4 linked regions of the Tamandua tetradactyla genome follow. The protein of the gene in region 1 purifies or fractionates together with the protein of each later gene. This does not show direct contact. Links are inferred from orthologs where the notes say so. Each region holds a gene or a part of one and is shown in the gene's direction. Other genes may lie near its edges. The genes, in order: STK26, SLMAP, CTTNBP2NL and SIKE1.

The links.
Region 2: the proteins of STK26 (region 1) and SLMAP purify together in Homo sapiens (affinity purification with mass spectrometry; 5 studies listed by BioGRID and IntAct, with this or other methods). This does not show direct contact. The link is inferred for Tamandua tetradactyla from reciprocal best matches to the Homo sapiens genes STK26 and SLMAP.
Region 3: the proteins of STK26 (region 1) and CTTNBP2NL purify together in Homo sapiens (affinity purification with mass spectrometry; 4 studies listed by BioGRID and IntAct, with this or other methods). This does not show direct contact. The link is inferred for Tamandua tetradactyla from reciprocal best matches to the Homo sapiens genes STK26 and CTTNBP2NL.
Region 4: the proteins of STK26 (region 1) and SIKE1 purify together in Homo sapiens (affinity purification with mass spectrometry; 4 studies listed by BioGRID and IntAct, with this or other methods). This does not show direct contact. The link is inferred for Tamandua tetradactyla from reciprocal best matches to the Homo sapiens genes STK26 and SIKE1.

What each region holds. Positions count from the first base shown.
Region 1 is NC_135353.1:30,555,580-30,563,475, reverse strand, and holds the start of STK26 (serine/threonine-protein kinase 26), read left to right. Parts: upstream 1-4,661; 5' UTR 4,662-4,782; coding exon 4,783-4,784; intron 4,785-7,896. UniProt on the Homo sapiens protein: Serine/threonine-protein kinase that acts as a mediator of cell growth. Modulates apoptosis. In association with STK24 negatively regulates Golgi reorientation in polarized cell migration upon RHO activation.
Region 2 is NC_135341.1:27,188,503-27,196,145, reverse strand, and holds the start of SLMAP (sarcolemmal membrane-associated protein), read left to right. Parts: upstream 1-4,395; 5' UTR 4,396-4,397; coding exon 4,398-4,595; intron 4,596-7,643. UniProt on the Homo sapiens protein: Associates with the striatin-interacting phosphatase and kinase (STRIPAK) core complex, forming the extended (SIKE1:SLMAP)STRIPAK complex.
Region 3 is NC_135337.1:9,694,959-9,702,499, reverse strand, and holds the start of CTTNBP2NL (CTTNBP2 N-terminal-like protein), read left to right. Parts: upstream 1-4,481; 5' UTR 4,482-4,739; intron 4,740-5,214; exon of another isoform or gene 5,215-5,687; intron 5,688-6,411; exon of another isoform or gene 6,412-6,592; intron 6,593-7,541. UniProt on the Homo sapiens protein: Regulates lamellipodial actin dynamics in a CTTN-dependent manner. Associates with core striatin-interacting phosphatase and kinase (STRIPAK) complex to form CTTNBP2NL-STRIPAK complexes.
Region 4 is NC_135337.1:6,543,567-6,551,629, forward strand, and holds the start of SIKE1 (suppressor of IKBKE 1), read left to right. Parts: upstream 1-4,959; 5' UTR 4,960-5,047; coding exon 5,048-5,206; intron 5,207-5,435; coding exon 5,436-5,541; intron 5,542-6,429; coding exon 6,430-6,572; intron 6,573-7,778; coding exon 7,779-7,892; intron 7,893-8,063.

The sequences.
Region 1 (7,896 bases):
TATCTTCTCATCAAAATACATCAGTCCAGTGTCTTCCACAAGGTACTCAGTATTAGGTGGAAGGAATCTAATAAATTAACTCATACCTAGGTGCTAATGACTGTTAATGATTTATTACTCGTTTCAGAAGTAATTGCATTTAACAATGGACTCATCTTAATGCCGAGTAAATAGGAGGGAATCTGAAAATTTCAGGTCAAGGGTCTTGCCGATTCTACCACAGAGGCAATTTGTAATGCCACCTGCACGTAAGATTGGACCTGACACTCACCACATCTCCATGAATGCGAAAGGTAGTATTATATGTACAACATTTCCTTATTCATTTGAGAATATAGAAATTACTATGTGGAAATATTACAGGACACATGTAAATTTACATTAGTAATTGTTACCTATATCATCAGTTGAGATGGAGCTTAATACTATTAGACTGGAATTGTATGATTAGGAATGAGATACTTATGAAGAATTCTTCAGGGTTCTCAAAGGACCACATTAGAGAGTCAAGCTGTCTCTTTGTTTAGATAATTGTTGCTAAACATTTGTCTAACTGCTAACATAATGCTACAGAGCTACTATGATATTTGAGTTTTCAAGTAATAGGGATGGAGTCATGGTAATTTCTGTAATTTCATGTAATCTCTTATACAGCTCAGTTGGGATCTGCAACTGTGAGATGGCTGTCTGAAGTTAGGGTTACAGGCGATATACATGAAATCAAATGAGGCCAACTTAAACAAATGGGAGTTCAACTACCAACCCTGACCTCAGTAATTGCATGCTCTAAACAACTGAGATAGATCAGCATCAGAATAATACTTAGCAAATTCATTCTCTGGAAATGAAGAATTAAGAAATTGAGTGTGAATCTGAATTTCCTTTAGGAGTACCTAATTTATCAACTACATAGCCAATTAGATCAATATATTTGATTTTTAATATCTACTACTCATTCTGTATACTTCAGTATAAATAAAAGATACCATCTCTGCTTGAATATAGAGATAATAATATGTGAATCATTCTAATGTATTACTAATAGCTGTGAAAACACTTTAAAGCACAATAAAGTACTCTAAAGCACTCTAAAGTAGCAGATCATTATTATTGCTATAATTAGAAGTGTCTCTTCTTAAAAACCAAAATCATATTTAAAATAATCTGATGCATACCTGGGAATGAAAAATACTAAGATAGGGAGTAATAACATGAACATATCCATGTTTTAGAAAGATTGTTCTGGCAGCTATATGGAGAATGGCTTGGCAGGGGATAAGGGGCATGGGGGAGTAAGGTGGGGAAAGAAGAGACACTAGCTATAGAGAGACCAGTTATTAGGATACAATTGCAAACAGCTCAGGCAAGAGAATGATGGGTTCAAGTGACATTATGGAGGTAGAAATCATAAATCTTGACAATCAATCAGAGGGGTGGGCTGCTGAGAGGAGATAGATATGAAGGAGAGGAAGAAATGAACAAAATTTCAAATCTGAGAAGAACTATTAACAGTATATAGTTATGTATACTATACTTTAGACAATATAAAAGTTCAGTTGGCTCTTCTGTGTATAGTGATTGGGCAATCAAATTCCTTCCTTTGCTTTTTTTTTTTGGGGGGGGGGTTGTTCTTTCGGACAGCAGTATCAAGGAGTCATAAAGCTCTCAAGTCTGAGTTCTGCTCCTAGGACTGGGTGTGCCAGGGAGGGCCACTTCCCATGAGGGTTTGTATGATGGTGTTAGGTTCCGGGGACCAGGTTGACCCATGGCAGCCGACAACAGTGTAGCCAAGTGGGCGAACCTGATTATTGGCCAAAGAAGGCTACAAAGGGTTCAAGTTGGAGAAGTAATACCACGTGCCAGGCCCCAGGGTGAGTGAGGCAAGACAGTGAGAGGAAAAATGAGTGAGGAGGTCAGAAATTAGAACAGACTGAGGAAGAATTAGGAAATCGGGTATGAAATGAGCTGGGGTGAATGGTTTGGGACAGAAGCCATAAATTCTGAAAGCGTTAAGGAGGCGTGTTTTCATGTAGTGTGGGCAGGTTGGTACAGGTACCTAATAGCCTAATGGCACTGAACAGGCCCAGACACCGTCTCTAGAACTCATAAGCCAAAGTATCTCTGGCTCGAGAACCTAAGAAATATCCATTCTTATCCATATTGGTGTTTCCATTTCCTAGCATTTGCAGTATCAATATACATTTTCATTAATAAGTTAGACCACATGTTCTTTTATCCCTTAAAATTCATGAGACAGATGATTTCTAATCCAGAAATCTAAACCCAAGGCTATCTATCTTTTCTCATTCTATTGGGTCACTATTTTCAAAGACAAATCCCCTAATTCGTAAACACAGACTGCTTCATTAACTGTGTTTAACAGGTAGCGGAGGCTTAGTTCACTGACAGCTGCCAGGTGGTGACTTGGAATCCAGCCCTTGGTTTTCGAATTTGCTGTAACATCACGAAGAGCATGGAGCACATATTTTACTTCAAGAAAGACATCTAATTTCATTCGGGGTTTTGCTCAGGTTTCCGTAATCTGTTCACGCTGCTCTGGGCTCTCCAAGAGGTTCGTGTTGGCCTTGTGGCTGGCAGAGAGTGAAAAGGGGAGTATGAAAAGTGCAGAAAGAAAATGTAGTAACTCCTTCCTCCCTCCCCCAAGATATAGTGATAGTGTTGTAAAGGGATAAAAAGCTCAAGCAAGAAAACTCTTGCTTGAGGGAAAATCCAAGCTGGAAAAGGCTCAGTAATCACAGCTATCTCCAAGTCTTTCCATCTCAGTTTTGATATTTGTTCTGCTCTGGGGCCTCTCCTCAAGCCTTGTAGCTGGAGCAATGGCTACCACCACCCTACCCCTAATCTCCTGGCTCAGTTATGGACAAATCCCTCTGTTCTCTCAAAACAGGGTTGGCATTTTTCAAGTAGACTTTTACTAAGAAAGAAAGAGAAAACTAAAGCAAGGAAACTCTGATGCCTAGAACTGGGCAGGAATTAAAGATCTGGGATTCTTTTTCCTAAGGCAGTGATTCTTAAAGTGGGGTCCCCATACCAGCAGCATCAGTATTTACCCAGGAACTTGTTAGAAATGCAAGTACTTTGAGCCTGCCCCAGATCTACTGAATTGGAAACTTTAGAAGTCGGGCCAGCCCTCCGTCTTTTAACTTCCCTCCAGGTGATGCTGATATACCCTTTAAGTTTGAGAAACACTATTCTAAGGAACGTGCAGCCTAGCCCTGGATAGCCTTCAGTGGTGCTGTCTGAAGAGCATTCAGCCTTCTCTTTTTTAACTTGCATTAACTATGTTTGCCTCTGGTTGCCTACAGTCTAGCAACTAGTAGATAACTAGTAGACTGGTAGCTAACGCTACCTTCTGCCCAGCAAACACCATGTTCTAGGCTAACATGTGTGCAAAGTATTACTACTAATAATCATTCCAGTAGCTTCCACATTTTTGCCTGTTTCGCACGTGCTCCACATTGTACTAAGCACATTACACTCACTGTGTTAGCTAATCCGAACGACAGCTCTATAAGAGAGGCATTATCATGCCCATCTTCCAAATAAGTAAATGTAAACTTGGAGAAGGTGAGTTGCCCAACGAATGCCAGGAAATAAGGGGCAGAGCCAGGATTCATACCTAGGTTTCTGGTACTCCAAGTCCATACTCACAGCCTGGATTCCATATTGCCTCCACACAGCCACGTGGCTCCTATGTCAGGCACCATGTCCTAGGAGCTTTTTTAACTGCATGTCAACTTCCTATCTTAGCTAGTAGACTCCTCTCCTCATACACTAGTTCTTTCACATAATATCCTGGACTATGCTATTTCACTTCATTGAGCTTCAGTTCCCTTGTCTGTAAAGTGGGAGTAATAATCCTTATTTAAGAGGATGGGTGTGAGGATGTGTGAATATACAGTGATGGAAATTAAATGTATTATTTCCTCCATTTTACAGGTGAGGAAACTGAAACTGGTCACTTGGCTGAGGCAAATTCTGCTGGCTTTTTACCTAAACTTATTTGAGGGTGTGAGAAGATCTCTGCTCCCAAAATATCTCCACTTACAACTAGGAGTAGAGGGCCATATTGAGTAAGTATTAACTTATTCCCTATTAAAATGGCAATGTTCTCAGGCCAAGGTATCAAAATGGGCAGAACACAGATACATTTTGATCAAAGGAGGTGAGAATGGCCCAGAATCAGGGCCTGGGGGAGTACCAGATTCATGCCTAGTTGCAGAGATGGGCTTTCAGCAATGAGAGGAAACAGATTGGAGTGGGGGTGTGAGGAGAAAGCAGAACCTCTGTCATGAAAAGTAGTGATGTTCAAACAAGTGGCCAACTTCACCGATTTACTCATGACCCAATTACCCATGTGACTGTTTAAACCCACATTTAGTCTTATCTCCCTTTTTAAAGAATTCTTAATGTATCTAAGGAAAGATCATATCTTTCCATTTATCCCTTTCCCCTTCCCGTTTCTTGGCTCTCGAGTATTTTTTTGTTTTTTTACATACTTCCTCCCCACAGATAAGGCTAGTTCTCTGTGAACTAGATGTTCACTCCTAGCCTTTCTTTCCTTCTCTGTTTCTTTTCTGTGGCATGCCCAGAACACATACAGTGTTTCAATTAAGGTACAGGTCATCCAGCCAAGGGTGGGTACCGGTGCATTTTGTGTAAACCAGCAGCGTCACACCGACAAGACAGAAGAAGCTCTGAGCAACACTGGATGAATCCATCCTTAGGTCTCGTGAGGACTGATGTGACAGAGAAGCTGCTATGTAAGTTTTCATGGGAGGTGTCCAAGTTTCGGGTTTTATACAGGGATTCTCTTTTAAACTAATTTTCTGTGCATGAAAATGTATTCTCTCCGAAATGTAACTTCTTTAAGAAAGATGTACATGAACTAACTGCAAGTAAATGCTTGACCAGATGATGGATGCTGTAGGGGAATTCCTCTACCTGCTATCTTTGTGGCAATCCATTCTTCCACAAGTCACTCGTAAAAAAAAATTCGTTTCTAAAGAGCACAGCACTTTAAATAGGATTCTGTGTAATTTAGGCTATCATTAAAAGGGATTCAAGTATAGTACAAATTGCAACCATCTTGAATTACCCACAAGGAATTCAAATACCATTCCCCTATTTTTGTCATAATTAAAAAGGAAAAGCCACGCTGGACCAAATTTCTGGTCCAGGCAGCCAAGAATTTTTAGAGGGGGACTCGGAATCATGTTGGCAATGGGAGCGGAGAGGGTGTGGTTGTTCTCCTTAATGACAACCTCAAAAGTTAAGACACTTAGAGCGGGCCACGGTGGCTCGGCAGGCAGAGTTCTCACCTGCCCTGCCGGAGACCTGGGTTTGATTCCAGGTGCCTGCCCATGCAAATTGAAAAAAGAAAAAGTTTAAGACACTTAGCAAGATTCTCTTAGCAGGTTATCTTGGTTTTATCTTTTGCAAATGTAGCCTAAATCTTTCTTGGTGCTCTTTACAGCTTAATTTGTACTGCTGCTTGAAGGTGGTGAGTTCCACAGGTTTTACTGTCCACTATATAAAGTCTCACTTCCTGTTGATTGCCTTGGATTTGACTCTTGAGTTTTAAGGTCTGTGCTGAGTTCTAGCCAGTTAATAGCTTTGGTTGCTATTTACTCTGTCCATACCCTTCAGGATACTTTTAAAATAAGGCTAATAGTGGGGACCTATCTCATAGGGGTTCACAGGTATTACAGGATTTGATACACAAAAAGCACTTGGTCCTGTAACAGACCCAGAGTGCACACTAAATAAGTGGTAAGTAGCAGCAGTAGTAACTCTGGCTGTTGCCTCTATCTTCATCGTATTGTGTTAAAAGAATCTTAACACCTTGAATGTGGCTCAGTCTAGCACCTTCTCATTCACACATTCTCAGGGCCCATCATTACACCACCTTTAGTTCCATTTTGGCTTTGCTGATTTGTGGCTTCCTGAATTAAGTGTTGTATTCCAGATGTGGCTGCACCAGGATTTAATTTTTTTCCCCCAAAATAGAATAATGTGTTATATTGTTTCTAGTCTGTTTTCTAATCATGCACAGCATTTTGTTGGCCTTTCTGGCCAAAAATGGCACAGTGAGGTGAAATTGTTCCAGAAATAACTTACAACTCCTAGCTTCCCTTTTGGGAGCAACAGAGATTATTATCAAACATGTATAGTTTGTATATATTTTTTCTGTGGATGCATTACCTTGCGGAGATGTTCTATTGTTCTTTTCCAGTTTTGAGAGACTTTCTTGCCATTTGTCCTTACGTCAGTTTGGCATTTCACTACTGAGAAGAGCTTAGTAGCTCTTACCACTGTGTAGACCTTCTTTCACACCACTTGTAACAGTTATCTAAGCCTGGGATCATGGAAACCTTAATACTGACACTTCTCCATCCAGAGAAGCACCCACACATTCCTATCCTTCATTTCCTTCTGTGAGTTAGCGCTCCTTCTATGACAAATTGTTTCCCCAAATCTCATAGGGACTCATTAAGCAACAACAACCAAAGTCAACAGCATGGAAGCTTGCCAAAGACTTTTGAAAAAGTCTCTATATATTCCATCCCCTGGTTCTTCCTTGCCCATATGTTATTTACTCTCCTAAAGAGCACTAGACATGCTATTCCCTCACAGAATCCCTGCTGTTTTTCCTCTGAAAGGTCATGTTTAACTGTGACTCTAGATTTATTATTTAGCTATAAAATAAAGCTTCAGAAAATTCCAGATTTTACTTTGTAAGAAATGTTTTCATAGAATCATTAAATGTCAGCGCTGGTAAGAATCTTAGAGATGATCCAATTCTCTTCATTTTACAATGAGGAGACTGAGGCCTAGAGAAGTTTCAGCCAAACTTGTTTTTCATCTGTTAATTTTTCTTTTTTTTTTTTTAAGCAAACTTTGAATAAAATTCTGGATCATGCTGAAATGCTTGGGCATATGTTTTTTTCTGATGTCTCAAACGGAATGTAGTTTTCTTAGTATGGAATACAGAGTAGATTTAACTTATGGAAGCAAAATGTTTTCAAGAACTCATCATTTTTTTTTAAATAGGCAGGTTACCTTTAACTTTATTGCCATAAGCTTTACCTCACAAATTGACTTCTTATTTTATTATTTTTTTGTTATTGTTAAAATCACATTACCAGGCTTATTTGGAGTTTACTGCATGCCAGACACTATTCTAAACAGTTTATGCAGATCCTCATTTAAAGTTCAAAGTTAGGCAATATGAATCTATGATGTCTGAAGATAGGGAAGTGGAAACCTTTGGGCTGGAGAAGGCAGTGATTGAATGAGAGCATCAGATGACTTCTGGCAAGCAGGTAATGTTCTCTTTCTTGATCTGGTGGATGGATACATGAATGTTTTAACTTTGTGAAAAATGAGCTATTCTACACTTATGACTTTGTGCAGCTTTCTGTATGTGTGCCATACTTCAATAAAAGCCTAAAGAAAGGGTAACACATAGTTAGGCCCTTACATCAACTTAAGTTATGTACTTTTAGTATCCCTATTTGACAGGTGATGGAACTGAGGCACAGAGTAGCTAAATCCCTTACTAGAGATCATAGAGCTAGTATGTAGACAAAACTAAGATTTGAACCTAAGTAGTCTAGCTCTGCAGTTCATGCTCTTAACATGAAAACACAATAAACTACCTCTCAGAGTGAATCTTTTTCAGTATCAAGATTAGTTGATTTCTAGTCTTATGATGACTTTGTATTTGGCCCTAACTGCATTTATTTCTGTATTTCCCCTTAATATATATCACCACCTTTTGTTCAATACACATGCACACACACATACACATTTGGAGGAGAAAAAAAAAGGATAATGCTTTAATTAGATAATTGCCTTGCCCAGGCCATCTCT
Region 2 (7,643 bases), on another chromosome or scaffold:
TTTCTTATTTAATTAAAAATTTGTGTGGATGTAAAATCACAGAGTAACACCCACATAGCTTAGAATTCAAAATATCTTACGTATGCAATTTATTAATTTCAGACTTTTCTGAGCCAGCCTACCAGTGGGTGAGGAATGCCTTCACTGCCATTTTTAAATTTCTAGTACCCTGTATATCTTGGTAGGAGTCTTTATTCTGCTAGGTTATAAGAGTTACAGAATTTCTTGCAGAAGAAAGTCTATCCTATTTGCTTAGCATTAACTTTAAGAGATATTGCATACAGAAATGTAAATAAACAGACACTTTTTTTTCACATTTATGATCATGTTTCTTCATGTACATGTTAGGGATAATACAACTTGCTCCTTACTGTATGTGGAAAATTGAGGGGAATTTTTACTAATAGCAATAATAATAAAAACTAACATTCACTGAGTATCTGCTATTTTCCAGGCATCATTCATTATCATCTTTAATCCTAAAACTCTGATGTTAATTACTTTTTTTTCATATACTGTATGGTGGGGTCACATTTCATTATTTTTCCATGTGAGTATCCTGTTATTGCAGTACCATTTGTTGAGTTTTGTTTGTTTGTTTGTTCTGCTTGTTTGTATTTTGGTAAGTGCATGGACTGGGAATCGAACCGGGGTCTCCCACATGGCAGGGGAGAATTCTACCACTGAACTACCCCTGCACCCCAAAAACTACTCTTACACCCTCTCTGATGTTATTTCATTTTTTCCAGATGGGGAAACTGAGAGGTAAATAATTTATCAAAGATAATATTGCTGGCTAATGGTCATGACATGCATAACTGATTCTGAAACCTTGACTTTCCTTACTCCACTTTGACCTTGCAGGAGAAAGAGGGAAATGTTCTAAACTCTGTTGCATTACCTACAATGGTCTTCAGTGCCTGAATCCACACTATGGTCCTCCCCAACTTTGCCCTTTATGCTCCAGTAACACAGACCTACTGTAATTTCCTTGAACTCCTGATTTCTCAACTCTCTGGGCCTTTATTGATAATGTTTTTGTTTTGACCTAAATTTTCTTCATTGTGCTACTACCAGTTTCAGTTTAAACAGTTATTCCTCCTTCTTTCTTTTTTTTTTTTTGTGGCATAGGCAGGCACCGGGAATTGAACTCGGGTCTCCGGCATGGTAGGGGAGAACTCTGCCTGCTGAGCCACCATGGCCCGCCCACTCCCATTAATCTGATGTACTCCATTACAGCGAGGATCTTATCGTGTCATCACCTAATTTATGAGCAGCTAGAGAAAAAGGTTTCTTTTTTCCTTCCCTTCATTGTTGTATCCTGGGGGCCTTCCAAAGTTATCTGCCTCAAACTAGGCATAATTTAATTAAATATTTATATAATGAATGAATGAAAGGATGCATAAAAGACAGACATAAATTCATGCACAGAGCTCAAGATTTTCTGGAGAGTTCTATCATGTTATTCCATATAAGCCTAAAGATTATCAGGGAATGAAAACTTTCCAACATATCCCTATTATCTACAGAATAAAGTATCTGGGATATACTAAAATTTCAATACATATTTGCTGAAGTGATGAAGATCTTTAGAAAATTACACAAAGTCTTTATAACCTAACGCCTATTTTTCTCTTGGGACTCACTTTGTGCCACTCCTACTCTGTCTTCTAATATTGAGTAAAAAGTATATAATTTTCATTCATGCATCAAATATTTATTGAGCCAGTACATTGGCATACTGTTTTCAAATAGCTTTGTTCCTCCTCTTGTTGTTACCTTTTCCTGGAAATCTATGAATCCAATCAGCAAATACCATATTAATTGTGGTTTTTCCACCTTCCTTCCTTCAGTTCAATTATCTACTCCAGAAGGCCTTCCCTGACCCCAGGGGCACTCAGTGAGTTACCTGAGTAACGTCATTAAAATGAAGTTACCTGTACCTGTGTTTGTCAACCCTCCCCATCTTACTTTACAATACCGGGTGTGCTCTCTGAGGACAGGGATCTCCAGTTTTGTTGACCTGTGTGTCTCCATGGCTCAACTCATGGGGTCAAAACCCTCTAAAAATATTCAAATGAATAATAGTTATTCTTTATCTTGAATTCTCACAAAAGTATGTGAGTTAAGTATTAATATATCTATGTTATAAAAAACAAGGCTTGAAGAGCTTTAGAAACTTGCCCATGGTCACACTTTGGTGGAGCTTGTTATCACAGGAATCTGAAGAATGAAGTCACCTTAGAATCTAAGCGAACTAAGACTTTTTCCTACCATCACAAAGTTGTCGTTTAGATTTTGCAAAGTCATTCTTTCTTTAGATCAATGCCTCCTCATCTACCTTAATATTGTTAGTGAGCAATATCCTCTTTTATCATATTGCTAATTATTCGAATAGTTATTCTCGGAAAGCAACGTGATTTTAAACTTTCTCAAGTCTCACTCCTCTGGAGGGAGAATCCGCATTAAAGCCGGAAGGGTTTTTACAGGTCCAGCGCCGAGAATAAGAATTCGAAACAGAATGTGGGGAATAAGGAAGAGTTTTTCTCAGAGCAAGGAACATAGCGAAGACTTTGGCAGGGGAGGGCGGCCCTTATGATGTTAGATGCACAAATCCTGAAACTTGTGGGAGCCTGGCGGTGGGGTCGGTGTTGCCCACAGCTAAAATGGTTGCTCGTGAACAGCCATTTAGGATGGGCCTGTTCTCTTTGTTCGTTGGTATTTTCAGTGAGAGCTATAGCAAATGATATTTAGTAAAATTTCGTGTCTTCTTATTAAGAAACTAAAGTAGACCGTTGATACTTTTTTTGAAAAACCTTCAACCCGCAAATTCTTCCTTGCCCTTAACAAAAATGGTTCGTCAAAGCTGTCCCGTAGTTTGAAGCTTCCTGCCCTAAATTAAGATGGCCTCTAAGTCGCGTTAAAAATTAGCCTGCCCTCTTCTTTGCCTTCTACCAATATGGCCGCATTGGCGTCGATCATGTGACATTCCCGGTGTACGGCGCGAGAGAGGGGGTAGGAGGGCCCTTGAAGGGTGCGCGCTCCCGCGACGGTGCACCCGGTAGGTTTCAGTCAGAGTCACTATGGCGGCCGGTGCTGGCAAGGTAAGCTGAGACGGCCTTGGCGGCGGGGGAGGCAGGACCGGTCGAGACATCTGGGCTACAGTCCCCCGGAGCCTGTCCGCGAAGAGGCCGGCCGAGGTCGTGACTGGTCTCGGGGACTGCGGGGGGCGGGCTCAGAAAGCCTAGGGCTGAGGCGGGCGGGCACCGGCGCCTGACGGCCGTTTGTTTTGATGTTTCCCCCACCAGGTCGGAAAGTTTCCTGCTTCTTCGGGCACATCCTGAGCGTGCCCCACTGGCCGCGAGTAGTGGAGGCTGCGGTGGACCCAGCCTGGGGCCTCCAGGCCTCTCCCCCAACCCCACGGCCAGCCTCCCTCCCCCACCTCCTCGCCCGCCCGAAGCTGCGGCTGCCGTCCCTGCGATGCGACCCTCGCGGAGGCGACCCTGAAGGGAGGCGGCCCGTGCGCTGAGCGGCGGCCAGGAGTCCAGGCGTCTAGGGACCAACTTCCCGCCGGCCGGGACCCCCGAACGTTCCTGGGGTCGCTGGGTTGCGCCTCGCTGGGTCCGCACCAGCCTGCGGAGCCAGATCCCCGCCCTAGTCGCTGGGACGCCCACCACCAGGTGCCGGGGAGCCCGGGCCCGACCGCTTCCCGCGCCCCCGCTCCTCGCAGCAAGGACCTCAGCCACCGCCCCGGCTCGTGCCCGGCTGGGGACCCCGCACTCCCTCCTGGGGCGACCTCCGCTGAGCAGGGGCAATGCACACTGTTCCGCTGGCCTCTTAGATCCCTCGCCACCTCCCGGCTTCTCAGCCCTCGTCCTCTCGGCCCTCGTGCACGGACAGTGGCAATCCAGAGGTGCTCAACTACACCTTCCTTGGGCCCGGAGGGACCTTCCTGGCCACACCGAACCGACCCTTCCTTCATGCTGCAGTGCTGCAACATTTCCGCCACTGAGGGGGTAAAACGGCCGCGATCCCAAACAAAACACAAGAATTGGTGTGTGACTCATCTGCTTGGATACCTTCAGTCCCCAAACTGTCTTCCAGGAGTTTTCTTGGCCGAAACTGACCCATGTTTGAGCCTTTTCTTCCCGGGGAAGAAGATGGACTAAAAGCTGCTAGTTGGGGACTTTTTGTGATAAGGGCGGTGATGGGGCTGGTGCTGGCTTGTCTTCCATCCAAGTGAAGAGTTGTTGTCACTGGTTATGCTTAGACAATACGCAGTTTGTTTTAATTTAAAATTTTGGGGGGGATAGGAGTATAGGCTTGTGAAGGGTAGTCCGGATTCGGAGGAACTCCTCTTCGTGTCTAATAGGAGAGACACCTCCAGTCTGTCCTCGATGCCGTCAGCCTTGGCCATCTTCACTTGCCGCCCGAACTCGCATCCGTTTCAGGAGCGTCATGTCTACCTGGACGAGCCCATCAAAATCGGCCGCTCTGTGGCCCGCTGTCGACCTGCGCAGAATAATGCCACCTTTGATTGCAAAGTGCTGTCAAGGAACCATGCTCTCGTCTGGTTTGATCACAAGACGGGCAAGGTAATGTCACCACGTTGTCTAACTATCTTTACTTTTTGTTTCCTTTTGCCCTCTGTGAGAGATGTAATGTGTGCAACAAGGCTATGGAATCTACTACTCTGTTCTAATGGAAATTTAATTGAATGGAGAACAGAGAAAGTATTGTAATTAAATGTCTTGGGAGGGTGATGGCACTTGATAAGATGGTCATTCCTAGTGAAATCTCAACCCTCATTCGTTTAGGAAAACTAGATAGTGAAACTTGGCCTCTCCCTTTCAGTCTTTTCTGAAAGGTGAATTTGCAGTTCCCAGAACAATGTGGGGAATTTGTAGCCAGTATTACCCTGGGGCTCAAGTGTCTCACTGGTGAGATGTGTAGTTTACATGTAGCTGTTAGTTGATTTCTGATCAGGGCCTTTCAGGTAAGGACAACTGCTTGTGGAAACTTAAATTTTTGAAAGGTTTGATACATGTTTACCCATGGAAGGGTAATTTGTAATATTCAGAACCGGTTTAGTTAAGCATGAACAAGTATTACTTGACATTTTCAGTTTTGTTTATGCATTAGGTGAACATGTGCCTATTGCTTTTTTTATTACCGATTGTTTTTTGAAAATCATATCTCGATGTTCCCTATAGCACTTGTTCCTCAATTAAATGTATCTAATGCATACTCACAGAGGTGCTGTTTAAAAATCAGAGTTAGGAAATGAACTTTATTTTCTGAAATTGTGTTCAATTCTATGAATTATTACATTGTCTAATGTGATAGGATGAATCCAGTGCTCTTCATTTTAAGAGTAACCATTTTAGCATTTTTAGGTTAGTACCCTAAGTTACTAAACTTACAGGTGTTTATATTTTAACAATCCAAGAAAAAAATCAAGCTAGCCTCTCAATTTTTAAAACTTTATGTGTGTGGTCAGTATACTCAAGAGCTCATCTTTGTGCTTAAACCTCAGGTTTTAGATGAGCTACTGAGTCAGTTCCAACTTAAACTAAGTTATGTAAGATTAATAGGAATGTCTCACCTTCTGACTTTTTGCCCCCTCTCTCTGAGTTAAATGATTGCCTTTTTTAAAAGAAGACTGATTTAAAAGAAATCTTTAAGAGTAGTGTTTTTAAATTAAAGAAACCTGAGTGTTAAAGGAAAAGAAAAGCATAAATCCTCTGCATTTATTAACTTATGAAGTTATATAAATTAATTTTTTTGAGAAAGGAGGAAAAGATTGCCTAAGTGCTGTGTGCTTGCACAATACTTGTACCTTACTCTGTATGTAGGATGATGTCTGAGAAGTATGTTAATTTTTCTGTATAACACCAGAAAATACCTGTGGAACAGATCCTTTTTTCTCCCTAGAGGCTAAGGTTTGGGTGTCTCAGAGACTTCATAGACTGATTACCCATAATTCTTTAAAATATATATTCATAGAACCTATTTTTCCGGCATTCTAATTAAAACATCAGTTAATTACCAGTGCCTTAATTCAACTAGTTTCTACTTTTTTGTGTCCCTGGGCAACAGTTAAGGTCCAGCCTAATCAAATAACTGGTTTGCCCAAGTGCATACTCTGCAAATGCACCTTCTTTACTTTGATTCTGAGGAGACTCAGAATTTTTCTTTTACTTGAGAAATAATTATTACATGAACAGTGCTTTCCATAGCTATGCTAAAACCCTCACAATAACTTATTTTGAAATGACTAAGAATGTATGAATAGTGTTTAGTATGAATTGAGATGACATTAACATTTTGAATAGAATTTGTTATTAGAATAATTTATCTTTATAGGATACCCTTGGTTTAGTTCTACCATTTTCACTTTTGTCCCCCCAGCTTTTTATTTATATTTTTATTTTTTGGGGGGAAGGGTGCATGGGCTTGGAAGGGTCTCCTGCATGGCAGGGGAGAATTATACCACTGAACTACCCATGCACCTGACTCCCTTTTTTTTTGCATGCTGTATGGTGGGGATCACATTTCATTCTTTTTCTGTGTGAGTATCCTGTTATTGCAGCACTGTTTGTTGAATCTGTGTTTGTTTGTTTGTGTGTTTGTTTTAGGGAAGTGCATAGGCTGGAAATAGAACCTGCGTCTCCTGCATAGCAGGCAAGAATTCTACCACTGACCTACCCTGTACCCGGGCCCCCTCCTTTTTAAACCAGATTCTACCTAACATATAGGGTCATTACTTTAGGTGTAGCTATCATTATTGATTCTTGTACCACCCAATCTAATTAGAACAAATGACCATTCAGATCTTGCCATGTAATCGGATTGTTTTAAGATTAAGTATTTAAATCTAGGTTTGGTCAGACAGCAGGTTTTTATTGAGCATCTAGTATGTGTCAGGTACTAGGAAGCACACTGTTCCAAAGCAAACCCATAGTTTGACCATATATTTATTGTTTTCTCTGTGTGAAATCCAGTTTGGGGATTTCTGCCATAATTGTCTTGTAACAAAAGATTATGATAACTAAGTCCCCAGTCTAATATAATTTCCCCACAAATTCCTTTGTGTAATAGAATAATCTTCCTTCTATAAGCGTCTCTTTAGGCATTTTTTTTTTTAAAATTCCAATCCACAGTTCTCTCATCTGGGAATAATAATAGTACCTACTGTTGTTTTGAGGATTGAGATAATCAAGCAAATCATTTAGCACTCGGTACCTGGCCCTTGTTAAGGGCTCAGTACTTAAGGTGAAGGGTGTTGGTAGAGAGAAGTAACCATCTAGGCAGCTCTTTGCAATTTGCCGTAGTGCTGTGGACTCTTAGGAAGGTAATGAGAAATTTTTTTTTCGTATGATGACTTATGTAGAAGTAATTTTCTTAATTGAAAGCAAATGAAGTGAGGACTTTGCCCAAGTTGGCATTTTATGTAGGAAGTGGAAAATCGGAGTAATATGTCTTTGTTTGACTTTTACTTGGTAGGTGACTTACATTCTGTGTTGGCCATTGTGGGAGGCCATTAAAGCTGGAAGAAATAATAAATACTTGAATCTTTCTGATTATTCAAGTGCTACATGTTTATTTTAGAAAATGTGTAAACTATAGAGGAGTACTTGGAA
Region 3 (7,541 bases), on another chromosome or scaffold:
ATCCTTTTCTTAAGCTCTATAAATCTCAGTTACCTCATCAGTCAAATGAGTTATACCTACTCTAAAGGGTTGTTGTGAGGATTAGATTAAATAATGTGCCTGGTGTGAAATAGGCACTAAATAACTGGGTTGATCTGTGGCTATCATTGTTACCACTATGAGGTGACCTTGGGCCAGACACTCAGCCTCTCTGAACTCGCTTACTCATCTAAAACCTAGAAGCAATAATAATTACCTCACAGGATGGTTGCAAGGATTAAATTAGATAATATATGTAAAGCACTAAGCAGTCACTCAATGTTAGACTTTTTTTCCCTCTCTCTCCTAGATCTCTCCCTTACAGGCTAGGGCAAAGTTTTCTCAGCTCCACATGGCCAAGCTGGCCCAGAATTTTAGCTAAAAAAACCCAAAATAGTCTGTCCCTGAAGGTGGCTGTTTGAACTGCGATCCCTTGTAGACCCCTACCTGCTATGCTCTCAGCCCACACTCCAAAAAGGGAGAAAATGTGCAGTCTGGGATGTCTCCCTAGAGGGCCAAGGAGATGGCCAAAAGGAGAGCTAACAGCTGCAGGACTCATAACTCAGCACTAGGGGGAGCTATAAACTCAGACACACATTTGGGGCCACACCCATAAATCTCCAAACTCACCCCTGTGCCCAAGTCTTCCAGGACCGGTGTATCCAAGCAAGAAGACAATGTTCAAGGACTATTCAGAAAAGACTCCGTAGGGACAAATGATGGGAGAAAATGCAGGGAGCAGTGGAGAGCGCACCATCTCTCCAGTTCAACCTGGTCCTGGGATAAAGAGTCCTTTCTGGTTTCTACACTCTCACCTCAGTGTGGGTGCTGGGTGGTTCCTTGAGAAAGAAAAATAGGGAAGTCAGGCCAGGTCCCTTTTCTCATTGCTCCCACCTCTACATCTAACTCATTTAGCTTAGAAAGTGCCACTGGGTCACAGAAGGAACCTTATAGAGTTGGCTGAAGGGACGTTGGCTAAAGGGAAGATAAAGTGCTTGAGCTAGGTCTCCTAAGCAAATTACAGTAATCCCTCATACAATTTACCAAATCCTTTCATATACATCATCCCACTTGTATATTCACAACCACCTAGTGTTGCAGACAGAGGCTATAATCCCATTTTACAAATAAGGAAACCAAGATTCAGTTAAACACCCAAAGCTCTCCTCTTCCTTCATAAAACTTCGATGTCACCTGCTATCACCTCCTCTCTTGCTTTCCCTTGTTTTAAAATCAGTCCAAACTATACTCAGAACTCCAGGAAGACTGCTACTCAACTGCAAATATTCCATCGATCACATTTTAATGATATCTGTTGCATTCCCTTTCTTCTTAACCCATTACACATGACAGAGAGACCACAGGACATGGAAATGAAGAGGTTGTACTTCGGAGTCAGAGTTGAGTAAAAAGCTATGTCCAGCACTTATTAATACCATGATTACAGATCTCTTTGTGCCTCAATTTCCTCACTGTAAAATAGGAATATTAACATCTATCTCATGGAATTATTTAAGAATTAAAGGATATAATATGTAGAACAAATTCCTTAATGCCTGGCATATAATAAAGCTTGATAAATGATATCTAGTATATACAATTATCATATACTCAAAACACTGAGATGATCTTTAGAAATTAGTCCGTTATTTTCACGCTATTTATCAGTGAGATTACATGGAGTTAAGTGCAGAGGTTACTTTGCCAAGTAGGACTGTGATAGTGTGAGAACTAGAACTCACGACTTTTTTTACTTCCAGTCTAGCCCTCTTTTACCCCATCGTTGCCTCCCCAAATCAGCAAATTCATACAACACCAACTCTGGAAGTTTACCTATTTGGAGGAAAGCTGACACAATCTACAATCTTGTAGCACTTCTTTACTGAATTGTTACCTGACAGACAATAGATGGTAGTAAGCAGGTGCTAAGTTAATAAAATAACAGATATTTAAATATTGTATTGTACAGATTTAAGACATTATTAACCCAGTTCACCTTGCCACCAAGTATACCTTTGCCCCAGACTCTTAATTTATTTACAAGTTGTATATCTTGAAGACTCATCAAACTCCAGAACTATCTCCTAGTGCTGCCGAAGGCAAGGGTCACAAGCCTTCTTGTTCACTACCTCCAGGGGTGATGAATTAAAAGGAAAGCAATCTAACACTCTCAGGACTCTGAATCCTACAGGCCAGGGCCGATCTCATTCTTGCTGGGTCCTCCCACACTTAGGAATGAGCTAGAGAGAGCCCAGTCAATTGCTGTAAGGCAAGTAGTAGGCCATAGGGCACTGCTCCCACCCCGTCGGCCTGGGAATGGAATGGGTGGGGGAGTTAAAGCTACATAAGGAAGGAGGGGAGGTGGGAGGGGCTGATTCACTAGGACAACTCTTCGAGTGACTCAGAAGCTAGCAGAAAATAGCCTTTCTTCCACATCTGCCTCATGGTCAAGCAATGAGGCACTTCCTCATTGCATACTCATGGGCAGAGCAAAAGGGAGGAGGAGGAAATAGGACTTTTCAAATTTGTGGACCTATTCCAGCACCTAAAGTTGTGTTTTTCACCATTTCAAGTCATCAGTGTTTATTGAGCACTTACTATGTGCCTGGCTTATCTTGCCTGTCAGTCTCCTGAACACATCTTTCTGAAGTTCTGTATCCCCTCACCATTTCAAGTCATCAGTGTTTATTGAGCACTTACTATGTGCCTGGCTTATCTTGCCTGTCAGTCTCCTGAACACATCTTTCTGAAGTTCTGTATCCCCTATGCCAAAAGCACGCAGGCTGCGGTTAAGCACCTCATTCCATAGTCTTGCTGTTCTTCATATATAGAGATGACTCTCCCAAAGCTACAATCAATAGGGGGAAACATGAAGCTGTTTTTCTGGCTCCAACGGTGGCTTTATAGGCATCCATGCCCATTTTCTGGGTAAAGCCTCCTCCTGAGAGCCAATGGGCAGTGAACAGAATGTGGTATAGGTGTTAAGAGTCAAACATCCTTGGTTTGAAGTTTTTTTTTTACCATTTATTAGCTCTGTCGCCTTACTTAATTTCTCTGAATCTCTGTTTTCTCGTCTGTGAAATGGGCACAAAGGGATGGTGCAACAGTGGCTTAGTGGCAGAGTTCTCGCCTGCCATGCTGGAGACCCCAGTTCGATTCCAGGTGCCTGCCCATGCAAAAAAAAAAAAGGAAAGAAAAATGGACACAAAGATGGCTATCTGCCTTACAGGGTCGGATAGATTTAATATATTAGTGAAGATTAAATAAGATAACGTTATGTGAAAGAACCTGGCATAGTGATGACTGAAAGTCCCGGTCTTGAGATGTTGATTCTCTGTGGTGGCACCTTCCGTCCTGGCCTTTTCCTCTGGCTTAGCTCTCACAGTGACATGCTAAATACTGGTTTACTTCCCTCCAACCTCCAAGTGATTGCAGACTGATCACATCCCTCCACCAACCTGTAAACTGTTTAAGTGAGGAGATGCATCTGCTTGCATAATTATAATTATTAAGATCAGAAATAATGTATCAAGGCATTTTTTCAATATAACTATCTAATTGTATTATTTGTTATATCGTATTTAAGATAATGTAGTGGGTGTTATGGTTTTAATCAGCTGAATCAATCTGTGAAATGGAGTGCAGTCTATGAAAAAGGATCCCAGAAACTTTGACCTCAGGTGCAACTAGGTCTACATCATCCTATCCCCCTCCGTCTGGGTTACTTGGTTCTGCTTGGAGTTTGCTGCCACCGCCAAGGTCTGTGTTCCTCGTGCTCAAGAGGGGCGGATCTTCCTTGTATCCTCTACATCGTCCTTTGCTCCAGCTTCATTGCAAACGCCAGTGCCCCCACAGTATAATGGGGGCTGCGACGCCAGAGGATCCCGCAGGAATGTCCCCTCACGTGACAAGGCTAGTGTGGAAAAGCTTGACACACAAGTAAGCAATCATTCGTCTACTGCCTGCCGTCCACCATCCACCCCCACCCTGCCCGTGGTGTATAAAGAAGCCCGCAAGGCAGGTCGGTTGGGCTATGCCCTTCCTGATGCCATCCTGGGTCCCGCCCTAGGGTCTCGAGAGCAGGCATTCTCTTCTGCAAGTATTGCAGTCTCCTGGTATCTCATCTTCTCCGCCTTGCTGCTAGCACCACACCCACCCACAGGCGCGTTCAAGAAAAACCAGAGGGAGAAGGGAAGCCACGTAACCAGGTTTTCAACAACGAATTCTATAACACACCCAAGCTCACCTCTTTTTCTTTTTTTAACATTTTGGATAAAATCAAAATCCAAACACAAGAAGCTCGGCATTCCTAAGCTTCCCGTACCGTCACCGCAAAGTGTGAGGCGCTCGCCCCGGTCCCGCCCGATAACCTGACTAAAGGTGGAAAGTTGCACACTCCAGGCGGGGAGGGACTCGAGCTTCCCTGGCGCCCGGGCCGGAGGAGCGAGCTTCCCACCGGAAGTGACGCGCGCTCAATCCTAGCCGGGCTCTCTCCAAACAAAAGGGATCTTGGGGCCCCGGGAGGAGCCTAAATGACATTTGAGAAGCCCCTCCTCCAAACGGCGCGGATTGGTGGCAGGGTTGGAGAGGCGAGGTGGTGATTGGCCCGGATGAATGCCAATACCCCCGCCTAGTGGTTGAAGGGGAGGAGCCTCGGGGGCTGTGGATGCGGAGCGGGTGGCGGAGGCGGCGGGGAGCCGATCCCAGAGCGCCGGCAAAAGGTAAGAGCAGCTAGGGTCGGGCCTTGGCGATTGCTGGGAGCGCGGGTTCTCGAGAGAAAAGCGAGAGTAGGATCACCGTATCCTCCCGCCGTCGTCTCAACTGCCGCTAGCGCCCATCCCTGGAGGGGGCGGGGCCGTCTCCTTCACCTCCCGGTATTCCCTGAGGAGGCGGCTCCTCATCCTTCGAGGGTCCCCTCAGCTACTTTATTGTCCTCCGTCAATTCCCGTCTCCTCGGAAGGTGCTTCTCTCCTGATACCCTCATTTACAGGCCCCTCTCGCCCAGCGCCTCCGCCTTGTAGGAGGGCTCTCAGGTTCCCATTCTTTGGGCTACCGCCCCCACCCCCCATTTTGTACTCCCGGGAGGCCAGACATCCCCCCTTACACCTGTCCCTGCCCGCTAGGACAGAACCAGAGCTGGTTTCATCCGTAAGATAAAACCAGTATCCCCCCACCCTACCCCACCCCCAAAAAAGAGGGATGGGAGAAGCAAAAATCAAAGACCCAACCTACACGGCCAGCTGTACAAAAGAAGCGCCCCCCCACCCCCACCCCCGCTTCAGCTCTTCCCATCCCCCATCCTCTGGGTGGGGGTGGGGGCAAGGGCTTGAGAGCGCCCCTGCTCCGGGAGCAAAGATGGACTTTTTTTAGACTCCGGAGGAAGGAGAAATAGTACCCCTCCCCCTTTCAGCCTTTGTACCTTCCTCTGTTCACCATTCCGTGAGGGAGAATCCAGCTTCTAAGGGTTTTTAGATCTGAGTTGTGTTGTGTTCACTTTTGCCTTCCACCCTATTTCTTCCCTGAGAACCTGATGAAAAGCCATCCCCTTATATTTCAGTGGGGTGGGTGTGTTGGATATTCTCCGAGTTGGCCTTCTCTGGGTAGGAATTCAGTGTGCATTGAGTGAGAAGTCGGTGGATAACAGCATGTTTTAAAATGAAGCAGTATAGGTAAGTAAATAAATAGCACTGAATTAGATATGAGTCTCTCTCATTCTAGGGTGGGCAGTTCTGTTGCTCAGGGAGACTGCAGTTTAACCTTGAAACAAAAGGCAGGAAGTGATTGAAGAAAATTCAGGTTCAGTTGTCTAGGTTTATGATTAATCTGGTCCTGTGGCTTTTGGTTACTCTCTCAATTACTTTGTTTTGTAATGGATATTTTTTCCCCCAGGGGAAAATAATACATTTATAATGTGCTGACTGGTTTTCCAAGACCAGTATCATCTACCAACATTTAGAGGATGAAAAGTAAAGCAATTTTAAAATCTCAGAGATAAAGGTAAATAAAGACAAGATAAACTCCACCTGTTCACACGTGTAAATACCAGAAAGTGCCTCTGTAGTGTAGCCTTTGTCAAGTTGACCTTCATTTCAGCAGGTGCAAAGTATTGATGATTTTAATGCCATAGAATCCCCAGTAATCATCTGTGCATAGCAGTTCCATATATTAAAAATTACCATGGTGTTTCTTTTGCTTTCATTCTGAAGTTCCCTTCATTACTGTTATCTATTGTCAAACTTAATAGCAATAAACTACAAGGAGTTGGAATCACAGAAGGTGATTGTGATAGCTGTTGTCTTTAACTTCCTGATGGTAATTACTTTGACTAGTTAAGGTTGGAAGGTTTCTGGGCCACTCTCGGTGCTCACAGATCTGTTCGGTGATTGTTCACAGATCTCCAGTACGAAAGCACAAAGAAGAAACTGTAGTCTCCCCAGCAAACACTGAAAGTGTACTGCTATAGGAGGATAAAGCTTGGGTCCCCAGCAATAACTGCAGAAAAATCTAAAAGCAGAACAGGAAATACAAGAAAGATATATCTTATTACATGAGCACAGAACAGAAAATAACTAAGGTAAGAGACTAAGGAAACTAAAGTTTTGGTGCTTGCCAGGGCCATAATAAGCAGAGAAGTAAAAGCAAATAATGCTCCTTGATTATTTGGTACAGTAAGCAAGACCTGTTTGATACACTTTTGGGGCTTGGAAATCTTTCCTCTAACTTTTCCCAACACCTGATTGGTCATGTTAGATATAGACAAGCAGAAACTTTTTAGGTGTGTATAATCTAGATATATCTATTTATGTAAAATCTATTATAAATTCGTTGAGGGGAGATACTTTTTTTTTATCTTTATATCTTTCACAGTGTCTATACTTTTTTTTTTATCTTTATATCTTTCACAGTATCTAGGATATGACTCAATAGATGTTCATTGAACTTTGATGTCGTCACCTTAGGGTAAACTAGAAAGAAAATGCACTGATAAGATACGGCACATCTTATTGGTATAAATAACCCACTTTTTGCCTTGATTTAAATTTATTTTCTCTAACTGATATCTATGATGTTCCCATATATTAAGTGACTCTAAAATATACGAATGATCCATAACAAAATATCTGGTAGTTAGATGATATAATTTTGCTGTCATGAAATTTGAACCAGACTGATGAGTGTCATCAATGCTAGTTATTTCAGGATTTTTGTTTATTTTTTTCTAAGAATTTGACCTAATAGGAATAAAGTGAATTTAGGGAGCACACTAGGAATTGATTGGCTGCTCATTTTTTTATTAAAAATGGTTTCCAAGTGCTTGGTTTTCACAAGTTACTGATCTACTTTGGGATTTTTTAATGGATTTTGAATTGACTTTGTGCTTTACTAAAGTGGTACTAAATATATGAATGGGGCACAGAATAGTATAGGGTCTCTGAATTCAATCGTATAGGTTAATTATGGTTGTCATGACATGCTCAGTCCACAATAGATTTATGTGTTGGTAGAATCAGGTTTGCAGTACT
Region 4 (8,063 bases), on another chromosome or scaffold:
GATTCATATTTCAGTGAAATTATAGGTTGTCAAACATCACAGACCATCATAATCACCTGGGAATGCTCAAAGATCATGAATGCTAAACCTTAAAATTCCAAGAATCTACTATAATGTAGCTCTTCATTTGATAAAATGAGACCTACTACAGTGTTGAATGTATGTTTCTGTACTGCAGAAACACATCAAATCAGACAGGATCAAGGCAGAAGTGACAAGTCTTTTGGGTTCTTAAAACTCAATGCCTATGCATTTAGGTGGGCCCCTGTTATGAAGTGAACCATTTACAGCCTTAATCCAGGTTGTATTGAAGACTCAGGAACCTTTGGGGTCAGCTTGGTACTTCACTTTGCCTCTTAAATCAATCTGTACACTATACCACACTGGGATTCATAATCTACTTAGCTCCATGTTTCTGCTGACAACTCCATAATTAAATATCAAATGTTACATTTACAAGTAATATCTCTAATTTATGTTTCCTAATCAATTTGGTGGTATCTCTTTCCATGCTTTTTACAGCCCCAGGAAAGGAGGAAGAGAATATCTGGGAAGTATCCAGGACTGAAAGGAAGTGGAAAGAAAGTGTTTGTCCTTTTTGTCTGTGTGGATTGGGAGAAAAGGCAAATGAAAAATCTTCTCACAATTGAAAGATTGTGAGAAGACACAAGCGCATATAGGTCTGACCCCCTTCTCTGACTTAAAGTCCTAGATTGAAGTCCAAAGTAGAATTGTGTTTTGTCACGCTTCCCATTTGGGGCTGTAGGAAGTACAGATGTATTATTTTTTATTTTTTTCTAGTAAAATTTGTATTATTGTATTATATATTATTTATCATTTCTTTTTTCTTGTAAAATTTGAACTCCTCAGTGCTGCTTTCTCTTATAATGCTGAATAATGAAATTCCAGATTTCTAGACTTCTAAATGCAGGTCTTCTTTATTAAAAAATACTTGTTTTGGTGGTGTGAAGCTGTATGTACCCCAGAAAAACATGTGCTTTGATCTAATCTATTCCTATGGAGGCAAACGCATTGTAAGTAGGACCTTTTGATGTGATTACTTCAGTTAAGGTGTAACCCAGCCCAATCAGGATAGGTCATGACCCTATTACTAGAGTCCTTTATATGCAGAATGAAATTCAGACAGAAATAGAAATCTACAGGGCAGTAGAAGAACTGAAGTTCAGTGGAACTCGGAAGAACTGTTAAATAATTAGACCATACTGAGTTTATCAGACTCAACCAAAAGCTGGGTTTTTCCCCATAGCTCCTAGTAGGATGGGAATGGGGGCTTGCCAGAAAATACAGATTACTTATAGAAAACAAATAAGCTAGAATGTCTTTGCATATCTTGTTTAGTAAAAGTAAATCTGCACATGTCTACTTACATATCAAAATTTGGTAGCATACTCATGAAAAATTTGGGGCACACCAGATAAGTACCAACAGATTGAATGAAGAAATGTTTAAAAAATAAACAAATAACCAATTCATTAAAAGACAGGCACAGCTACTGCACTTATTCTACCATTGTTAATCGGAGTTTGGGGTTGGACTGAACTGCTCCTTCCACTCTTTCCAAGAAGTAGCTTCAAGGTCCTGCAACTAGCCCAGTAGGAGGTAATTTTGGTTTCATAAGTAGGACCACCCATTGTGCTACAGATGGAATACCCAAAATGCCTGCTATTGGATTCTCTCCTATTAATTTGAATGAGACTAAATTATTTGTTTAAGAAATCCATCATAGGTTTTGTTTGTTTTTAACCTCTATGCATGTAGGAGAAGAGAGTAGAACCTCTTTTGGTTTCACTTTTTAAATGGCCAAAGGGCAAGAAAGAGATAATAGAGAGAAATGGAACCAAAAAATAGGGGCCATGTGGGATATCAGATCATAGTAGAAATAAGCCAGAAAAATCAAAGATCTTGGGTAATTTGTGTGGTTTCCACAAACAATATTAAAAGTATCTGGGCTTGTAAACCTCAATCAATAAACAAGCAGGGGTGAACCTACTATAGTTAATATAAAGAGTTTGAAGTTTGCAACAGAAGTTGCAATTACTATTCTTCAAATTGATGATCTTATTAAATTATACCTAGAAAGTAAAGATGATAAACATAGAAGTTAAGAAAATGTTGTTCATTCAGGAGCCCTTGATGACTGATGTGATTTCTTTTATTCATAACAATGTTAGGTGTAATTGTCTTATATACACATTAAAATACAACAAGCAGTCAAAAAAATAAAGTACCCAAGCTTAACTTATTGGTTTATTGGTGGGTGGGCTGTGGAAGACTGAAAATGGCTCAAAGGTTAAAACTTTCAACTTCATGCTGCCACATCTTGAAGCTTATTCATATTTGTACCTATTCTTTTCCCCTCCAATTATGGAGAATGAAATGTCCCTCATTCTGTTCAAATCCAGCTGCTTCACCTGTATTCCTGATCTGGAATCCCATTGTTTTATTCAATATTCAGCAAGTGTTTAACTACCCTGTCCCATCTCCTCCTGGTCCTTGCTCCTTCCATTGTCTCCCTACTCTCTTGTATCACTTTCCCTAATGGCTCCTTCCCCTACAAAGCCTAAAAACATGCTCAAGACTTTCTCGTAAAAACAAAAACAGGAATAAAAATGCACCCTATTGCTGCATTCTTTTTTACCCACTAATTGAATCATGGTTCAGACTACCAATCACAAGGGTCCAGTTTGGTGAGGGAAGGAAAATTAGACCATTAGAAGAGGCTGATAGGTAGGATGATGGTTAATTTCATGTGTCAACTTGGCTAAGTTATGGTGTCCAGTTGTTTGGTCAAGTAAACACTGGCCTGATTGTTACTTTAAGGGATTTTGAAGATGGATTTAGATTATTGGTTAGTTGATTGCGTCAATAGCTGATTACATCCACAATCAACAAAGGAGATTCTCTTCAGTAATGAGATAAGTCTCTTCATCCAATAAGTTGGAGGCCTTAAAGTAAGAACTGAGGATTTCAGAAGTCAGAAAGAAGAATTTCTATCTCTGCTTCAGCTACCCCGTTTCTCCTGGGGAATTCAACTTCATAGTCACCAAGTTTCCAACTTGCAGCCTGCCCTTCAGAATTCAGACTTCTCAATTTCCATGGTCACATGAGCAGTTCCTCAATTTTCTTAATATTTTATATCTATATATCCTGTCAGGTGTATTTCTCTGTAGAACTCTGATTAATGCAGGTAGAGTGAATATGGATAGATTCAGAAACTGAAGAGCTGGATGAAGTAAATGAAATGGTAGTGGGAGATAAGGTTGCAAGAACTGGACAGACAGAAAAGCTATAGTCAAAGAGTTAATCATTAAACCCTAAAATTTCTACACAGGACAATTCTTGGAAAATGATCCAGAATGTGGCCACATTAAGCCAAAATAAACATCTCTACAAATCAGAAGATCAAGAAAAGACACAGCATTAGATGAGTTGTCCACATGGACATGGATGTCACTCACATGAGAGCAAAATATGGCATAATTAAAAAGACCATAAGCCAACTCCTAAAATCTTCTAGGAATAAAGAAGAATACCCAAGATAGAAGGTCAGTAATTAACAACAGAGAGGAGCGACAGAAGATTCTTCATCTGTGGGATATAAACATCAAATAAAGAGATTTTACACAACATGAGAGAATAAGTGCTTAGAAGTATCATTCAGGAAGTAAAACTACCAGTCTAGTTGTCAACCCTAAAGTGGATAGGACATAGAATAATTATCCTCCACTGTAAGAAGTAGCAGAGGTTGTGGTGTCGGTTAGGGAGAGCTATCAGAGTAGATGACCTGAGGTTGGGAAAAGACCAGATGGAAGACCATCCTTAGACCTGGGTGAGAAAAGATGATGGCCTGAACCACCCAGGAGTAATGAGAATGCAAAGAAGCAAATATGTCCTAAAGATACAAAGGAGATACACTGCCTTTGAAACAGATTAAATATGAAGAGTAAGTAAGTGGGAAGAATGAAGGATAACGTCCAGGATTCTGTTTTTGGGGAAATGATGCATGAATGTGCTCTACTGAAATGATGGCCAAGCAAATTTGGAGGCAAAGATAATCAGATCACTTCTAGTACATGCTGAATTTGTGATGCCTGTAGGTTGTCCCTGTGGAATAATCCAGTTCATGAAAGAGATTTGTGCTACAGAGATGGATTTGAGAACCATTTGAAGTCAAAGCCAAACGCATGAAAAGAGATCAGTTAGGGAACGTCTTTTTGTTTTAATGAATGAACGAAATCTCTGCATTTTGTTGTTTTAATGAATGAATGAAATCTCTGCAGAGTGCATTAATTGTCTTCCTGTTGGTCAGTGACCCTGATTTGTTATTTCTGTTGAGCTTGTTCCCCATGTTCCCTTCAACAAACAATGTGGCAGCTGCTGTGAACACAAAGACCAAAAGCCCAGTTCCTTTCCCCCTGCTTCTCTGACCTCTAGCACTCTGACACTCCTTCATCAGACTCCTTCATCATCCTGTCACTGCCTTAAAATATTCATTAGAGTATAAATTCTTTCTCTCATTAGAAAATAATCTCCCTAAGGGCAGAGACCTTGTGTCTTATTCCCTGCTGCATTTCCAGGACAAAACAGTGTCTGGACCAGAAAAGGCTCTCCAAAAATAGTTATTAATGAATGAAAAAGAACAAAGACATACAAGCTTGACAAGGAAAACTCTTATTAACCAATGTAACAATACAAAAGTCATTGTTGTTTTGGCTAAATTTACTTTCAACTTATTAACTGAATTGAAACAGAATATACATATATATGGAGAAAAACCGGAGCCGCTCAGCCACAATTCAATCAGGCCACCGAGCTGAGAGAACAGGAAATCAAGGGCGTGGCTCCGCTCAGGGCGGAGTTTCCGAGAAGCCGCAGGCTGAAACCGGTCCGGGCGCGGACAACGCCAGTGCGCAGACGCCTGCGAAACGTGCCCGGAAGTGACGCCTCAAGGCAGAAAGTGCTTCCGGCAACAACTGAGCGAATCGCGTTGGTGAGCAGGGCCTGATACGCGGGTCGTGCAGCCGCTATGAGCTGCACGATCGAGAAGATCCTGACAGATGCCAAAACGCTGCTGGAGAGGCTGCGGGAGCACGATGCGGCCGCCGAATCGCTGGTGGATCAGTCGGCGGCGCTGCACCGGCGGGTGGCAGCTATGCGGGAGGCTGGGACAGCGCTTCCGGACCAGGTCAGGCAGAGGATGGGAGTCATGTCCTCGGGTTCTGGACACTTGAGGGTGGAGGGCTAGGAAAAGTGGGAACCCGGCGTGGAATTTGTTCCCCTTCTCAGGAGGGTGGGAGAAAGACTTCTCTGGAGTCGGGGCTGAGAATACTCTCCCGGTCCTCTGACGCCTGCCTCTTCCTTCAGTCGCATCTGCCCCTGTTTTCGGCGCACTTAGTCTGTCTGTCTCTGTCCAGTGTCAAGAGGATGCATCCGATATGAAGGACGTGTCCAAATACAAACCACACGTTCTGCTGTCCCAAGAGAACACACAGATTAGAGACTTGCAACAGGAAAACAGAGGTTAGTCGGACCTTTTTGTGTAGTTATGACTTTTTCATATCCAGCAACGGTTCAAAAGTTTTTGCAGAACTGTCTTAACTGTTCACAAAAGTGCATATCCTATATGTATTTCCAGGTCGATACCTTTAATAGAAGAGTTACCCCGTGTGCAGGCCCAGTAACAATAAAGTTTGTTAGATTAAATTTTTCGAGGTCATCTGACTGATTTTGTATGTACACACAGCTCAGCAAAGAGATGCCTAATAGAATTGAAATATTGCATGATTTTTTTAGACACCCCGGACGGAGGCTTGCCTGACGAAAGAGTTACCATCAAGGACTTAAAATTTAAGATTTAAATATCAATTGAATATACATTAATATTAAAATTGAAATTTTTTATCTTGTGCAAAGTGGAAGAAAAAATTTTATCTTCACTTATGTATTTTTGGACTTAATGAGTACATTATTAACGATAGTAATATTAATAGTGTGTCTATCAGTTTACAGAGTGCTTTAACCTATATCATATTGTGTTCTTATGTCTTCATTTTGAGGTTGGCAAGCCAGGTGTTTATTATTAGAAGATTGCACATAATAAATAGGCTCAGATCTTAAATGGTTTGCCTGAGATTATTAAACTAATTAGTCATGGAACTGAACTCAAACCTATGTCTTTTGATTCCACATCCTGTATTTCTTCTATTAAATGATGCTGTCTGCCTAGGAAGTTATTTTTCACATAGACCTTAGCTGTTCAGTTTTGTGGACTTAATCATTGATTTACAGCTTTGGATTCACATTATTTTACAGATTGTCATAAAATTATGGAAAATTCCACCTGTTAACAGATTGGCTTTGGGAACTATCACTGGGTCTTCACTGCCAAATTATTTTACTTTTTGATAGAGCTATGGGTTTCCTTGGAGGAACACCAAGATGCCTTGGAACTCATCATGAGCAAGTACCGGAAACAGATGTTACAGTTAATGGTTGCTAAGAAAGCAGTGGATGCTGAACCAGTCCTCAAAGCTCACCAGTCCCACTCTGCAGTAAGAAACTTTGATGAGTAAATTCTAAATGAACTGAACTGAAATCTAGAAATTGTTTTAAATTTGGGGCTTGTTTTAGAAGAAAATGTAGTCTTGTTTTCCACTAATGTTCATCACATCCACTGTTTATTTTGCTATGGCCTTGAAAAGATGAATGAAAAGAAGGGGATAAAGGGGCAAGGCAACTTAGATCCTTTATTTGAGTGGGGTGAAGGTTCCCCTACCCCAAGATCTCCTATCAAGGTGTTAATGAATGCTTAGCTCTTCCACCACAGTGCCATTTAGCATTGAGGGTGCTCAGTAAACACTTGGTTGAATATCTCTCCAAACTGTAAGCTCCTTGATTGTAAGGAATATGAATTATGAATTCATCTTTTACCTCTAGCATAATACCTTGCACACAACAGGCAGTCATAAACCTTTTTTAAACTGAACTACATAGCATCATACAAGGTTGTTACAAGGCAGTAGTGTTGTCTTAAAAAAATATATGTAACATAGTTTCTAGACTTAGAATACTTATGATTTAATTAGAGAGACTCAGTAATTGTTCTTATATTTGTAGAGTGTTTTATAATTATCATAGTATATTCACATATACTAGATTATTTAATCTTGGCTTAATAGATTGGAGCTCCACTGTTTGTTACAGTGCAATTTAGTAAAAGTTAAGTTTCATCTTAGATTCCACTGAAAACATTTTACTGACTTTTAAAAGTCTCAGGAAATGGGAATAGCCTATTTAAATATATGAATGTCTTCCATATGGAAAAGGAAAATAAATTGTCTCTGATCTGGAGGAGAAAACTAGGACCAATTCATTGAGACTTGAATGAGACAGAGTTTAGCTGATATAGAAAAGCTATCTAAGAAAGATGTCCAAAGATGGAAAATGGCACCCTGGAATGTGGTAAGTTTCCCATCAATAAGTGTTCAAATTTAGATTAAACAGCTTTTTCTAACATCCAAAGGGTGGTGAGACTAGAATTGATCTTTTGAAAACAAAAATTGTTTTTGAACATCGTAAGGCTACTTCATTATGGCTTTATCTCCAAGGACTCAGATTATAGTGAAATAGCAATATAACTCCTATAGCATAGATTAAATGAACTTTTAAAAATCATAATGCACCCTTGCCCATCATGATCTTCATATCTATAGAAAAGGTTATTTTTTCACCTATTTTTTTTCTTAATATCTTCACAGGAAATTGAGAGTCAGATTGACAGAATCTGTGAAATGGGAGAAGTGATGAGGAAAGCTGTTCAGGTAGATGATGACCAGTTTTGTAAGATTCAGGAAAAACTAGCCCAATTAGAGGTAAGATTGTTGCTCCTTTAGCTTCACAATATTTCAGGGAGTTTTCATGGAGTCTGGAAGGTATGTCAGCACTATCATGTCACTGCAATGTATTGCTGTTTTTTGTGTACTCAGGATTTAAAATTAAAACTTCTCTTAAGAAAGGAAATCAGTCAGCAGCATATAATGAAA